Linked DNA regions of Oreochromis niloticus. The protein of the gene in region 1 binds, or shares a complex with, the protein of each later gene. Links are inferred from orthologs where the notes say so. Each region holds a gene or a part of one and is shown on either strand. Other genes may lie near its edges.

Region 1 (7,665 bases):
CAGAGAGCTCGAGACTCTACCGGACAGATTGAGGAAGACCGAGCAGCAGCTCCGAGAAGCCCAGCAGGAGGCTGACGCACGTGAGAGGAGGAACATGGAGAATAACTCCGCCCTCTCTGAAGTCAGGCACAAGGTAGAGGTTTCATTCGAACCCAAAAGACCCAGCATACTTACAAATCCGGAAAGATTAATGAGTCTGATGAATATAATCCATGCACAGTGTGTCCAGGAACCCGTCATGGCTGACATGTTCCACTAAATGTTTTCCTTTGCAGGTGGAGCAGCAAGGCACTCAGCTGGAGACGCTTCAGCAGAGGAACCTGCTGCTGCAGGAGGAAAACAACGTCCTGAAGGAGAAAGTGTACAACTTCGAGAGGTAACAGTCACAGAGAAACTGCATTTAATGGACATTATTCTATTCAAGTTTATTTATATACCGCAGAGCCAAATCACAACAACAGGTGCCTCAAGGTGCTTTATATTGTAAAGATCCTACAGTAATACAGAAAAATCAGTATTATATCTGATCTTTTCCAAGCTGTGACACTAGATTTGTGTGTTGGTTGCAGGAGGCTGGAGGGCTTGAAGGCAGAAAACAGAGAGATGTCTCAATCTTTCGCTTCGAAGGAAGCCAGTATCCGCAGCATCCAGCAGCAGCTGGAGGAGAAGAGTCACGAGTGCAGCGTCCTGTCCAGACAACTGCAGCAAACTCTGGACGACGTACAGAAACAGGTACGGACACGTGGAGTCACAGAGGTCTCAGAGTTCTACAAAACATCACGCTCCAGAGGGGTGAATGGGTTAGTGGTCTGCAATGAGCTTAAAGCCAGAAGTGTCAGTATCAACACGGTGGCTCTCCTTCAACTTTTAAACAGCTACCAAGATGCTGCTGAACTGGTTGGTGGTGGGGTTTGGTTCACATCTACCTCACCCAACAAAAATCTTATAACAGAGTAACTGTTAAAGGAAATGCATGTAAGATAAATGATTTGACAAGTAGCATCACCCATTATCCTGGACTTCCCAAACTCTACAGTGTTCAGCAGTGACCTGGCGGATGTTAAGAGATTGCCATGGTTACTGGTGCTGAACACTTAAGCTTTTCTGAAGCAGGTCATGTTTGGAGTTTTGGTTTAAAATCAGCTGGAGGCTCCTCAGTGTCACTAACTCTTTTATTTTGATTTAATAGCTTTTATACCCGTCCCTGGATAGGGAGGGAGGGATGGATGTTTTATGCATGCACACTGTTGATCTGTATCTCACTAACGTCACTGAGTGAAGTCCTGCTGTGCAAACACTGACACACAGCTTGCACGCATTAACTTGGTGATGCAGAAGGTGTTTAAACTGCTGTTAAGTCTGCAATTAAAGATGTAAAAAATTTAGACTACAACTGAGATTAGAAAATCAGTCAGTCGACTTTGTTACTAGATACATTACTTATTGCAGGGAATATAAATCAGTAAATTTAATTTCACATTGATGTGGTCAAAAAATCGAATGATTTCCATCTCTCCTTCATTGGTCTGTGGGTCAGAGTCAGAGCTGAACACAGCAAGCAATCTTTAACTTGAGTGGTAAAACAAATGTATTAACTTATGATTGAGCAAAATTGTCCTCAAGTCAATTAAATCAGACTCTTTTTATATATTTGCTCGATTAATGCTGTTAGTAAGGTGTTAGTGCTGCTAATGTGGGTGAGGCTCAACACTTTGGTTGGTGTTTCTGTTCTGTGTTAAACTGATGATCCAGATTTTACACCTCCTCAATGTGAGCAGTGTCCACGTCCACACTGACTACTGATCATTGAGTTGAACTGGGGTAAAGACTAAAGCTTTGATTTACATGTTTGTACACACTCACTAAAGATAATGTCAAAGAAACTAAATCATCAGTTTTTCCCCGGAGGATTTTGGTGCTCATATGTTTATTTTTCATGTTCGGCCTTCAGGTAGACGATAGCATGCAGAGGGTTTTAGCCAAAGAGAGATCGTCTCAGTCTAAAGCCCTGGACCTTCAGAGCCAGCTGAGCCGAGCCAAAACGGAGCTGAGCCAACTGCAGCGAAACAAGGAGGAAGTAAGTCACCGATGAATACTCTGCACATGCAGGCAGGCTTAGATAAAACCAAGAGGCCAGCACAAACGTATGTCAGGAAAGCTCCTTCTGGCCCATTTGGGTCAGTGACAACAGTTCCACCAACCTTCTACAGCAGTCAGCAGAGGAGGTGTTTGAAACCTGTGGCAAACATGGAAAAAGGTGGAGCAGGAGTCACTTTTCACGTTTCGCTCATTTGCAAATAAAAACATAGTTAGGACCACGTGTTCACATAAAATATTTTAAGATTAAGGCCATCTAGCCTTTCAAAAAAAAGTTTAAAACACAGCAGCTCCTCCGTCACAGCTCACAGAGGAGCTCCAGCCTCGCGCAACAAGTGGCAACATGACGGAGACAGCGAGCTCAGGTGTTGTGAACGTAAATGTGTTTTCAAATTTCCAGCAGCAGCGCTCGTTACTATAATCACTATAAAAACCTTCACAGGTAAAAAGCCAATCAGGGTCCTTCGTTAAACCACCTGTTCAGCAATCATTAACATAAAGACAGTCATCCTTTCAGCTGCTCGCTGTTTCACACAGCAGAGTTTCAGGATGAAGAAAAAGCATGAAGAGAAACTCCCAACTCGGTTTCTCACTCTGGAAATCTGGAAGTCTTTGTAAACTTTGCTGCAGGCTGACAGCAGCTGTCCACTGTCTCTCTCTCTCTCTATTTCTCTTACTCTGGTTCATTGTTAATTATTTACCATCAGCTCCTGACCCATAAATGCTTTGAAGAACTTGCTGTTGCTGTGACATGTGTGTAAATTTGCGCATCACTCCTGTTTTTTTGTCCAAAGACACACAGAGACTCTTATTGCTTTCACTGGTTTTGTCCTTTTTGTAAATCTGGGTAGATTTAAGGCAGCTTTGGTACTGAAACTGAAACATCACATGATAATGATGCTCAAAGTTGTACAGGGGGGAAAAAAGGTGATGTTGTGATGTAGGAGTGTATCCCTGCTTTTGTTTCCCAGATGGAGCGACGCTTCCAGAGCCAGCTGCAGAACATGAAGGAGAGGCTGGAGCAGTCGGACTCGACAAACCGCAGCCTGCAGAACTACGTCCATTTTCTCAAAACCTCCTACGGAAATGTGTTCGGTGACTCTCTGCTTGGAAGCTGACAAGCAAAATTTATCCAGCCTGACCAGCAGTGATCCTCCTGAACTATCATACGGGCCATAAACCGCATTTATTAAAGGTCTGCTTTTGACTTTGTATGAAATTAATAAAATTGAATTTATGGATAAATTCTCAGTTATTAGTTGCCTAAACATTTTATTTATGTATAACTTACCAGTAACTTAGTCAGCAACTGCAGAGCCAAGATAAAAAGCTCCAATAAATGTTTTTATGATTTACAATATTCTTGCTGATTTACAAACATAAAAATGATGTGAGGTATATATTATAGCATTTTGTATTTTACACCAGAGTGTCATTAAAGTCAACGTAAAAAAAGAAAAGGAAAAAAAGACTTGTTTCATTTATGTTAGGAGGTACTTTTGGAACATTCTACCTGCATTGTAAGACTACAATGTAGAGAAATTGGACTACAAAACCAATGTTTTAGTTCACCACAGCATGTTTTTACCCTGTTGTTTTATGTGTGTCAGATAAACGAGAAAAGCCCGTGAAATATATCAATACAAAGACTGGATGTTTAAAAAAGAAGGAACATCCTGATGTTTGATGTTTGGTTCTATATGTTTTTTATTTTTATTTTCAGTTTCCAGTCCTATGATATCGGTGCGTAATTTGCACCCATGGATGGCTCAAACCTTCGAGTCTGTTCTGAAACGCTTACCTCATTCCTCATGCTGTTCAGAGCCAAACCCCACTTTTTTCTACTCCTCAGTACTACTTGGATTTTTATGAAGCAGCAGAAATGAACTCGTTTCTTGGTAGAATGCTGATTAAGTAAACTGGATAGTCGTATAGAAATTGGCCTATAGCGCAATATTACTAGAGAACCCTGCGATTGCACAATACGGTAATTTTTAATGAAACACATCTTATTTTCTTATGTTTTCCTGCTGAGTACTGAGCCAGTAAAACCCCTTTCTTCTTCCTTGTTTAGGATTTCTATGACTGCGAGTCAAACATCACAGTAAACATTAATTCATTATAATCCTACAGGCTCGAATGCAAGAATAGACCTTATCAATCCAAACGGAGTTATACTGAACCTTGAAAATACTTTGATCAGTTAATATAGCTCATAGTCTTGATTTAGAGAGTTTGTATAAATCTATGTTCTTCACGCGAAGCAACTGGAAAAGAAGCAGATTTTCTTACAGCAGTTCAACTGTGAATTATAGGAAGGCGTTTTCTAATTTCCTTTCTTAATAAAGGAAAGTGAACCTCGGGTTACGTCACTCAGGAATCTTTCTAACCAAAACGGACTGTGGGAACCTAATAAAGAAATTATCATAGTTAAATATTAAAATAGTCCATAATAGAGTTATCTCTATCATTTTGTAATGTGTGATTATACAGATGGCAAAGAAATAAATATATAAATGTCCCAGATGGGAACTTAATAAAGTCTGGTGGTTTCTCTTCGGATTGTATTTTATGTAACGCCGTATGTCGGATTCAAACTTGGCTAGCATTACTGCTAATCAGTTGTAGTTTTTTTGTGTTTCGCGATGCCTTCTGAAAGTCTACGATGGGAAACTTTGCAGGCCTTGAAAAATTCACCAAAGGGGAAAATCTCCTTCGACCCGTTCTGGTTGGAAAGGGGAGAGGTGAGTTGCCGCCAGGTAGCTAAAAAAACAACTAGAGCTAGCTAAACGGTAGCTAGTTAAAGTTAGCACGCTACGCTTGTTTAAAATAATCACTACAAGGGTGAGTTTTATTCAAAGTGACAATTTAATCATTTAGATCAGGCAGTAAGACTTCAGCTCAGAGGCTAATCAATAAACAGTGGTTGAAAACAAAAGGTTGAGAGGCATTTACGCAAATAACGTAGTATAGTTACGTACTTTTTATTTTTAATCTTCAGATATCCGTTTATGGATTTTCTTCAAATGACTACTTTTATTACTACTTTTATTTGACAGATAACTAATGTGACTTCCGTTTATAAACTGTGAAGCCTATATATACACCTATATAGGTTTTTATGTACATATATATATATATATATATATATATATATATATATATCTATCTATATCTCGCAAAGACCGCGATTAAAATTGGCTGCAACTCGAGGTGTGGACGTGCACAGCAGAGTTGATCATTGCTATTGAACCCTGCTGCAAACACTAACAGTATAACTGTATTTAATTATTACTTATTGCTAATTTTTCTAACCACTTCATCAGTAGGACTTTCTTTGAAAGGTTTTTATTCTATTATTTTTTAAAAGAGCAAAGTTTATTTTTATTGCGCTTTTCGAATTTGGGAGGCTGAATTCCATTTTAGTTTCCAGATTTTGACACAAGGGCAGTGGACAATAGTCAACTATAATTCCGCTCTTCTTGTTTGCGGTGGTGACATGCAGGCTGTCAGATGAGGTCAGGCAAGAGTCTCTGTACACTGTGAGGTTCACTGATGACATTGTGAGACTGTAGTGAGGAGGGAGTAGGTGGCGGTATAGGGAAAAGGAATGTGTGTGCTTGAGAAGGAGACGGGTGCAACAGTTTGGATGTAAGGAGCAGAGGTAGTGAAGGTAGAGGAGCTTAAACCATCCAAAGAAATGGACAGCACACAAGAAAGGGGAGGCAGGGGGACGAGTGTCAGGGGTGATTTGAGACAGATTTCTGTTGTTGAACTCCATGTTTATAAAAGCAGAGGTATGAACTCACTGATTCCTCATGAAGGTGTTTACATGTGTAAGGCTTTACCTGATGTTTTTACAGACAGGGAAAATCCAGTGTGTTTGATGTGTTTTTGTTTTGATTAAATCATTTCAGGCTTTAAGGAGTCCTACTTTCTGAAAGGATATGGCAACATGAGTGATGCATACAGTTTCTGTGCATAAACCATCTCTAAATGAAGCCCGGTTGTGTTCTTGTAGCCTCTTTTAGCAGGTTGTAAAGACTCCCCAAGCTTGTCCCCAATCGCTGGTGTCATATTGGAGCGTCTCAGCTCAGCGCCCCTGCAGAAGTCATTGTCCTTCCTGGGCTCCAGATCCGGAGACTCCAGCCCTGTTCTCTCAGAAGTCTCCATTTCTTCTTCCGGATCTGTCCCCGATGTCAGCGCCAGGACAGCTGCATTTTCTGCAGCAGCGTCTGTAAAGAATGAGCGAGAACAGGCAAGTCCTTAATGTCTCTTATGTGTCATTTTGTTAAATAGTTTTCCAATTTAACTGAATATCTGACCCTGATGGGTTTTTTTTCCTCATGTTGATGCTCTGTAGACTCTTAGTGATAAGGTGAAGGATGAAAGTCCAGAGGCAGATGTCAGTGGAGTTTCCAGTCCTACGTCATTACCTGCCATTTCCCTCCTGTCTCCCAAAGCAATGGAGATGGCTGGCTGTATCATCAAAGTTCAGGAGGAGCATCGAGAAAAGGCTAAGGTTCAAGATTGAGTGTGTTTTTTATTTTAATTTTTTTTAACTGAGAAACAGGTTAACAGTGATCATGTTTTTTTTTTTTAAATTTAATTTTATTTCCAAACCAAACTTCAAATGTTTTTTGTTGTTGTTGGGTTTTTGTTTTGTTTTTTTAACTCCTCTTATGATTTTTGTCAGTAGCAGCTTGTGTTATTGTATTTGTTTGCTTTCAGCTTTTGTTTTTAGAAACTAACATGTAATCTAAACATTATATGAATATGTTCAGGTTTTCTTGTTAAAGTTTATGGAAAAGCATGTAATGTTAGACACTTACACATTACTGGAAATGGGTCTAAACGTCTTCATACTAACCTCTGTTGGCTTACTGATCAGTTATATATTTTGCATGTTGACCCCTGCGTACTATATACTTGGTAAGGGTCTCACTGGACTGTCTTCTATCTGTCGACTCAGTTGGCCCTCAGGGTGCGGCAGGAGATGCAGGAGAACCAGGTAGTGGCGGTGGCGAGTGCCGAGTCAGAGCAGCTGAAACGCTTTGAGGAGCTCATGGAGCTGAAGCAGAGGCAGGAGTACCAGAGTATGAGGGACATGATGGAAAGAGAGTAAGGGGAATCATGAAGCATTTGAAATGGTTATAATGCTTAAAAATGTCTGAAATTTCACATGTGATTAAACACCTGGTCTGGTTTTCCACTTCCTGTACTGCAGAACAAAGGAGAGCATCGGGCGTCAAGAGAAGTTGAAGGAGGAGCAGCGGCGCAGAATAACGGTAAGTGGAAAGTTCAGGAAACGTGAAGCTTAAACCCATGTTTGTCAAGTTGTTTACGGAAGTCTTTAATTTTGCTTGTTGAACTTGCAAAAATTTTGCATGTTCTGTCTCAAAGTTTGAAACCGATTGTGAGGTGCTGGATGTGCAGAGCTCTGCAGCAGGAGAAGTAGATGCTGTTTATTTTTGGTAGTCTGCTGTAGTAATGATCTCCTGCACATACAGGGGAATTTCTTGGGCTTAGTGGGGTAGAAAAAGTTTTCTCGTTCCTGCTCATGCTTTT
Region 2 (7,789 bases), on another chromosome or scaffold:
GAGGCGAAGGAGAAACTTGAAGCTGAAGGTGCAGAGGAGGACGCAGCGCTGAACCCAGAGGGAGGCTGTGTGGGGGCTGCTAAGATGTTACCAAAACCTGTTGAAGATGACTGTGTGGCTGCAGAGCCAAATCCACTATTTGAAGCAGAAAAGCTGAAACCGCTGGCCTGGGCTGGTGCTGGCGCACCAAAACCTGCAGGAACAGAAGGATTTAGAGTTATCATGGAGTGATGGATAATTTCACAAAATACATTTTATTATCAAATTCTGAAAACCTACACTTTGATTAATTTAGTGCTAAACTACTAAAGTAGTACTAAACTACATGCAGTCTCTGTAAAATCTGCTCAAGCATCATAACTCATTAGAAATGGGAAAGACAGTTTATGATTTAACTAAAGGTTATTCCGCTGGCTATTTTATGTCAGAAACACTTTTGTGTTTTGGGTTAATATAGCACGATGAACTATTAACTGCTACAATAAAGAAATCGTTGAGCTTTACCTTTGCTTCCAAAGCTGGAGATGGAGGCTCCAAATCCAGTTGCTGTTGTCGAACCAAACCCACCTGAAGATCCCTGAGGTGCAGCACCATTTAATTCTGCAAGCTGCAATGAAAACAAATGAAGTAAAAAAAATAAAACACTGAATTAAAAGCCCCAAAACAGACAGGAGCAATGCTAGTGTGAAATCAGAACCTCAGCATTAAATGTAAACCAGGTGTTCGATACGTTCAAAGAGTAGAAGGAAACTTTTAGAATACATTTTCGTTTAATACATTTCCACTGCTGCACACTGCTGACATGCAAACCTAATGCTAAAAATCTAAACACATCTTCTCAGTGCTGTTTGGTTTTCACGTCTCATTAGGGACCAGTTATGGACTCTGGAATTGTAACAAATGATCTAAAGTTGGGAAGCGGTGTTTGTGAGCATCTGTGTGTCTTACCAGTGCCGCACGAGTGGCTGGATTCATAATCTTCAATTCCTGGACTCTGTTTTTCCACTGACTGAGCAGCTGATTGATGGCATTCATCTAAGCACAGACAAGAGGAATTTCTTATACTCTTAGAAATACTTAAACACATTTAACGTTTTGCCTTCCGATATTAAATTAGAGCTTGATTATAATAACAAAAAGACTTGGCGCCATGCTTCTATCCACGAAGAAGATGACTACTGACCCAAAGCCAAACAGACATGACATTACTAAGGAACACTGCACTTACGTAGCCCTGCAGATCTCCTGAAGCTCTTGTGGAGTAGTATTCCAGCCGGAGCTCTTCAGGGGAGAGGTCAGTGAAACCTGTAGGCAGAACACAGGAAACATGTTCAGGTCCAGTGTTTCAGTTTTTAAAAATATACATTTAAAATGAAAAATTTCATACACACCAGATACAAGTGTCTGGAAGCTATAATAACAAGAGAATCCCCACTGGCCAGACTTCTCCCAAACATCCATGTCCATCTGAATGACTTCCCTAGATAACAAATATGACAATGATTTTCTTATGACTGATTAAAAATAAATAAATAAATAAATAAATAAAAAATAAAAATTAAAAAAAAAGAACGTTTTGTTTTTTCATAAAGACTCACAGTTTTTTGTCGTCGTCTTCATCACCAACTGTTCCTCCCGCTGCCCTTCCTCCTCCTCCTCCCCCCCTGCCTCCCCTGTCAAAGGTGCTGGGAGTATTAAGAGCTGAAAATCTGTTTTGACTTGAGAAACTAAAGTCGGAGCTCTTCACATTTTCTCTTCGCCCTCCACCACCACCACCTCCTCCTCCATGACCCCAGTCGTCACTTCCGTGAGAAGAGAAGGATGAAGGCTGGATGTAGTTTCCTTTTTGCTGGGAAGGATTCACCCAGACTCTGTTTCCAAACCCTGGAATCAAAATACAAACCAGTGTCACAAAGCATTAAAAATTGTGTAAAATACACTCCATAGTGCATCATTATTATTAACCCATTTTAATCCTTGTTTAAATCACTTTATTAGCTCTCTGGTTAGCTTTATCCTCGACTTTCTTCTTTACTGCAAGCTGGTTGTCTGCTTTACACTCATTCATTTGATAACCACCACGAGGTCTCATGAAGTGATAACATGAAATTAAATTGCTGTTGTTTAGCACACACCTGACCTTTGTAAAATATGTATTTGTTTCCAGCGTATTGTATAACTGCATTGGAAAAGAAACTACGACACAGTAACATTACCCATCCCTCCTATACTAAATGTGCATTCATGTGGCGTCTGAATAACAGGAAAACCTCTTTTGTGATGCCCATTCAAGTTTGAAAAAAAAAACACCATTTGCCAAGTTGTTGACATACTTAAAACTTAACAGAGTTGATATGTTTGACTGGGCCCCGTGCTATGAAGTGAGTTCAACATACTCAGGCTACCCTTCCATTTCTACATAAGTTAGCATGACGGTGACACACCCCAGTAAGAAATGAACCACAGTTGAAAATCCAGGGTTAACACCATGGTTAAGTTACGTAGATAAGCACAAATCCTGCTTCGGCCTCGGGATGTGTTTGTATCTCAGCCCACTGTTCAAATACCTTACCCACGAAACAAACTTAATTTGCCTACAATTCAGTGGGACAGAAAAGGAAGGCTAACAACAGCTAGCTAAGAGAGCGAAAACATCACAAGAAGAATGCTAAAGAAACTGAAAGTAGGTTTAGATGAATATTAATTTATCGAAGACGTTACCTCCACCTCCACTTCTGGGCTGTTGCTGACCAGAGGAGCGGTTGCTGTAGTTGTTGTTGTATCCTCCACCACCTCCTCCTCCTCTGTTCCCTCCTCTTGGGTGCTCATTCCAACATTTTTCGCCGTAACGACAGCGGCCCTGAAGAAAGAAGTTGCACACTGGCATTTCCAAAAGGTGCTAAAGGCGTCTTTTAGAGCCCAAAAAACCCCACTTCCACTCGACAATATTTTGTGGCCGCGTCTGAACTGCGGTCGCACGAGATTTACGTCACCGCTTGTCCCACGTGGTCTTTTTTTTCGGGTGGGATTCTTTTTTTTAAATTTCTTTACTAGATAATTTCTCTATCAGATATTTTTTTTAATTTTAACAAGTTATATAATAATAATAATAATAAGAAGAAGAAGAAGAAGAAGAAGAAGAAATTAAATAATTAATAATAAATTAAAAATACATTTTATTTCAATTTTTTTAAATTTAACCTTTACCAAAGAAAAAAAAAATATCAGTATTTTTATTTTATTTTATTTGACAAAATGTAAGGAGTAGAAACTACAGATATCTGTTCAAAAATGTAGAAAAAGAACTACTCAAGTGAAGTACAGATACCTGAAAATTGTAGTAGTATAAGTATTTGTACTTGGTAAAGTATGGTAAAGTCCTTGGTAAATGTTGTTAAATGATGTCACAACTACTAATAACTCACTCAGCTACTAACTCATAAGATCTTATCAAACATGACTCAGCTAAAATGATCACTTTTTAAAAAATTGTAAATTACAGCTACAACATGATGTGTAATAATGTTAAAGTTAAAAGTGATTTAATGTTTGTAAGACCTTAGAATATTTAATAATTATTAAACATTTGCACAAACTCTGACTAAAATCCAAAATACACAGCAAATATCACACCTTTGTGGTTTGGAATCTCAGAGTTGGAGAAACTTTTTAAACCTATGAAAAAAAGCACACTGAAGATGTCAAACACTTTCTTACCTACAGTTTGTAGCTGTCAGTAAATAGTAACCTTAAAAGCTATGGTGGAACTATAAGAAAGTTACGGTGCTTACTGTAATGTAAAAAAATAAATAAATAAGTAAACACTAATTTAAGATAATTAGAAATGGTGTGAATAATCTGTATCCATACCCCATTGATACACAGCTACTACACCACACTCGTTCTTAATTTCCAAAAATGTAAATGTAAAAGATGATCGTTTATTGTTTTCAACACAGGAATCCCACAATGCACTACTTTCTCTAAACATGTACAATAAAATGTAGTTTGCATCACATTTATTTTTCTATGGAGGACACAATTCACGGAAAATATAAAAGTTTTATTTTTGCTTTCTGTGTTATCAAAATGACATACTTTGATACAGACAACTACATGCAAAACACTTTCTTTGAAAGCCTAGTAATATAGTCTTTCTTAACAATAAATTAGAAAGTAAGTACCAGTAAGGTCATGGGAAAAGGAATGTCATAAAAATGTATAGGTCATATATGAAAACACATGATCTTCTTAATAAAAGCACTACTTTTAAAAATGTCACTACTGTATTTTATAGTGTAGCTTGTTTTAACAAAGTCTGGTCTTCAAGAGAGTATTAAAAATAAAGCTTTCTTTAAGTAAAAAAAAAAGAAGTATAAATCTATTTTGATTATTAAGATGAGCAGTAATACAATGCCGTACCATTTAAAATTAAAAATCCTAGCATGAATTGGCATGTAGCATGTTTTTCACAACATAGATTTGGAAAGGCTAGTTATTTTACATACCATAGGCATGGAACAAACTTCAATTTTTTATGTTAACTGAAAAGCTTAAAATTACAGAAGTGTAGAACTGTCACCCAGGCAAAAGAAAAATAGAGCTATATTACATTATAACATGAAAAGTTTATTGTTTTAACAATATACTTTTCTTGTTTGTTACATATACTTTCATGTTAGTACAATATAATTTTTAAGTTTGAACAACATAATATCAGGTTATTACAATATACATAATTATCACGTTCGTACAAACTTTTTTTGTTATAACGTGATAATTATGTTTATTGTAATAACGTGATATTATGTTGTTCAAATGTGAAAGGTATATTGTACAAACATGTAAAGTATATTGTTAGATCAATAAACTTGTCACGTTATAATGTGATATAGCTCTATTTTTCTTTTCCCTGGGTGGCAGCTCTACGCTTCCGTATAAAATCATCAACATGTAAACATTTCTTGAGCTGAGAAATCTGAACTGCCTTTAGCTTAATCGCCTTTCAAGTGATCCCTGGTTAGTAAATTTTCTAAAAGATGAGATTTACTAAAAAATAAAAAAAATTGTGTACCAAAAACTAGCAGATAAGAACGTCTGGATTGAACTTGTAGGACAGATTACTGTAAGGCATGGGTCTCGAACTCCAGTCCTCGAGGGCCGTTGTCCTGAAATGTTTCCATGTGTCCCTGTTGCAACACACCTGAATACAATTAGTAGGTCATTAGCAAGAGCATTTGATTCATGTTACAGCAGCTCATGAGTGAATGAATCTGGTGCAATAAAAGTACTTTTAGAAGTACATTTTTCCAAACACTTGAGTAGGGTTATGGGTTGCCACGTCAGCATGCAATCAAGTTCTATACTCTTGCTAATGACCTACTAATTTTATTCAGGTGTGTTGCAACAGGGACACATGGAAAAGTTTCAGGACACCAGCCCTCGAGGACTGGAGTTCAAGAACCCTGCTAAGGTGTCTAATCAAACTCTGTGAAAAGTAAGAAAATGAAACAATATATCATATCAGAGCTGCCCCACAATATATCAAATCCTTCAATTAATCACTATCTATCAATATATATTTCTTTTTTTCAAAATACATGTTATACAATGTTTGTTGTAAATAATAAAAACATATTTAGGAAAAAAAAATTCCCCTGCTCTGTAACAAATCTAAAGCAATATTTTAAAAGCAATAATGATGATAATATGAAAAAGTCTTGTAACAAACTATAGCAAGCTTACATGTAATAAGATTTTACAATAAAAAAAGAAATGGTGCAAATACAATCAATAAAAAAGAAGAGGGAGTGCACACTCAGGCACTACAACTATTAAAGTGCATTGCAGAGCAAACACAATCCATGGATGCTGAGGAAGAGGACCACTGGGAGGACTCCTGCATTATCTCTGGTTTCCATCCACAGGCGGTCAGCGTCTCTCCTTAGCATCACACTGGTGGAGGAAAGTAGCTGCTCTGCCAGCTGAAAGGCCTGGTTATCCTGCAGCAGGGCAGGAAGAGACTGAATGTTGAGAACATCGCTGGTCTTTAGCTTGCACACCTGGGGAGATAGGTAGGTGGATCAGTGGACAAGCTCTTTGTTGCAAAATGCTGGTTTACAGATTCTAATTCTACTTTCCTCAAAGAACTAACATAAAGAAAGATGAAATGGCTTAATAAATACTATGAATTCATGTCATAACATTAGATATAGAGCTAAAACCCCATAATTGGTTATAGTTAGCTTAGCATAGCTAGCCTGGTTAAAGAAGCCTCCAGAAAGCCACAAGGAATTTTGGGGGGTAAAAAATATATACAGTAGAAATAACATTATTAAGTGAACTTTAGAAGGTCAGATAGGTGTGTATTTTGACACCTCTGGAACAGAGATAGGCTAGCTAGTTCCCCGTTTATACTAAGCTAAACAGGTGCGTGTCATGTTTAGAGATGTAAAATTTATTTTTAATACATAGTTTTCTTTTGTGTGTGAGTGTGTTCTGCGTACATATTGAATTATTGAATTAACTCAACCACCAATGTACTAATCATGGTACCAATCATTACCAACAATGTGTACTAAACTGAAACAAGTTAGCTAACCAGCATGTTGAAGGCCTGCAGAAAATCAGGAGCGCTCTTGCTCAGAAGTTCCAGAGTTTCATCGGGCAACTCTATAAAAACATTAAACAGAGCACATGATGAGGTTAAACCCACTAAAAAGCAAAAGATTCTGCACCACTGCTTTGTATGCTGATCTTTTTTTGTCTGTAACTTCTTACCTTCCATGGCACTGACCAACAGGTATGCTGCATTTAGGGTGCTTTCAGTGGGACTCTCTGCACTGGGTTGCTCTTCTTTTGGGGTCCCATTGTGTATTTCATTGCTACACAAATCTTCAAGCTGACACAGAAAAAGGGCTTAATATTAGAAGGAAAAATAAAAATTTTGGGATGCTGTGGTTACACATTTATTCACACAACCGCGAGACAGATTATTTTAGCCGACTGGCTAGTGGTCACCACGAACATCTGGTCTACAGGGCAATACCAGTTTCACTCACCACAAGCTGCAGATATGACAGAGCAGCTCTGTCACTCAGAGTTTCTTGGAGCTTCTTGAATAAAGCCCATCGGGTCGGCTGGGGGAGCTTTGCCAGAGGAGAAAGGACTTTTTCCTGCGATTCTGCAACAAACCAGAAGATACTATTTGTTTATTATCGATTATTATAAACATGTGACTGCTGTTCTTTCATATTGTCATAATCATTTTTTTAGGTATTACAGCTAGTTTTAGTGCCAGTGTTTGCTACTGAGGAAAGTCAGCTCAGCTATAATGTTTGAGATTAAACCACAAAATGCAACGACATAGGCAACATTTCATTGAGACAGACAAAATAACAGTTGTATTTGGGACAAAAAGGAACCTTCCTCAGTTTGTCATAAGTCTACTGTGTTTCATTTGTTATATTTTTTCCATCAACAAGTAATAGACTGTGTGCACGTTAGCATATGCTACTTCCGGTGCGGAAACTCCTGTGGGGAGCTTTGTTTCCGGTGTCCTATTCGCGCCTTGTTTACGGTCCAAACAAAATAAGCAAATGAATGAATCAAGCGGCGATTTACATTTCTATAGATGTTTTGGGCATTTACCCAATATATCTGTAAATGATGTTCATCGAGTTGTCGATATTTTTTCCCCCGCGCCTCAGATCAAAGAGAAAAGGGATTCAAATTTTATATTTCTCAGTATCTGTAAACAGCTGTCCCTCGTTTATCGCGGGTGTTATGT

Evidence for each region. The genes of interacting proteins can lie anywhere in the genome.
Region 2: the proteins of gle1 (region 1) and nup42 are in contact, whole or in part, in a crystal structure (PDB 6B4I), measured with the Homo sapiens proteins. The link is inferred for Oreochromis niloticus from reciprocal best matches to the Homo sapiens genes GLE1 and NUP42. Residues at the interface, in NP_001003722.1 of Homo sapiens: Ile385, Ile593, Leu598, Asn599, Trp602, Arg603, Ala606, Gln607, Leu609, Asn610, Gln636, Tyr637, Gln638, Val639, Gln640, Lys643, Met644, Ile646, Leu647, Glu650, Asp651, Tyr652; in NP_001357375.1 of Homo sapiens: Asp185, Asn186, Val187, Leu188, Phe189, Gln202, Phe203, Gln204, Ser205, Lys206, Lys207, Phe208, Leu210, Gly211, Lys212, Ile213, Pro214, Leu215, Lys216, Pro217, Pro218, Leu222, Leu223, Asn224, Val225.

The regions. Positions count from the first base shown.
Region 1 is NC_031977.2:33,266,134-33,273,798, reverse strand, and holds the start of gle1 (mRNA export factor GLE1), read left to right. Parts: upstream 1-4,655; 5' UTR 4,656-4,742; coding exon 4,743-4,841; intron 4,842-6,118; coding exon 6,119-6,355; intron 6,356-6,460; coding exon 6,461-6,619; intron 6,620-7,069; coding exon 7,070-7,218; intron 7,219-7,324; coding exon 7,325-7,385; intron 7,386-7,665. Other genes in the region: outer dense fiber protein 2, read left to right, coding at 1-133, 276-376, 570-732, 1,952-2,077, 3,069-3,215. UniProt on the Homo sapiens protein: Required for the export of mRNAs containing poly(A) tails from the nucleus into the cytoplasm. May be involved in the terminal step of the mRNA transport through the nuclear pore complex (NPC).
Region 2 is NC_031985.2:25,558,874-25,566,662, reverse strand, and holds the start of nup42 (nucleoporin NUP42), read right to left. Parts: upstream 3,001-7,789; 5' UTR 2,888-3,000; coding exon 2,722-2,887; intron 1,885-2,721; coding exon 1,599-1,884; intron 1,481-1,598; coding exon 1,392-1,480; intron 1,306-1,391; coding exon 1,229-1,305; intron 1,036-1,228; coding exon 949-1,035; intron 608-948; coding exon 505-607; intron 194-504; coding exon 1-193. Other genes in the region: gasdermin-E, read right to left, coding at 5,835-6,062, 6,602-6,672, 6,781-6,901, 7,062-7,183.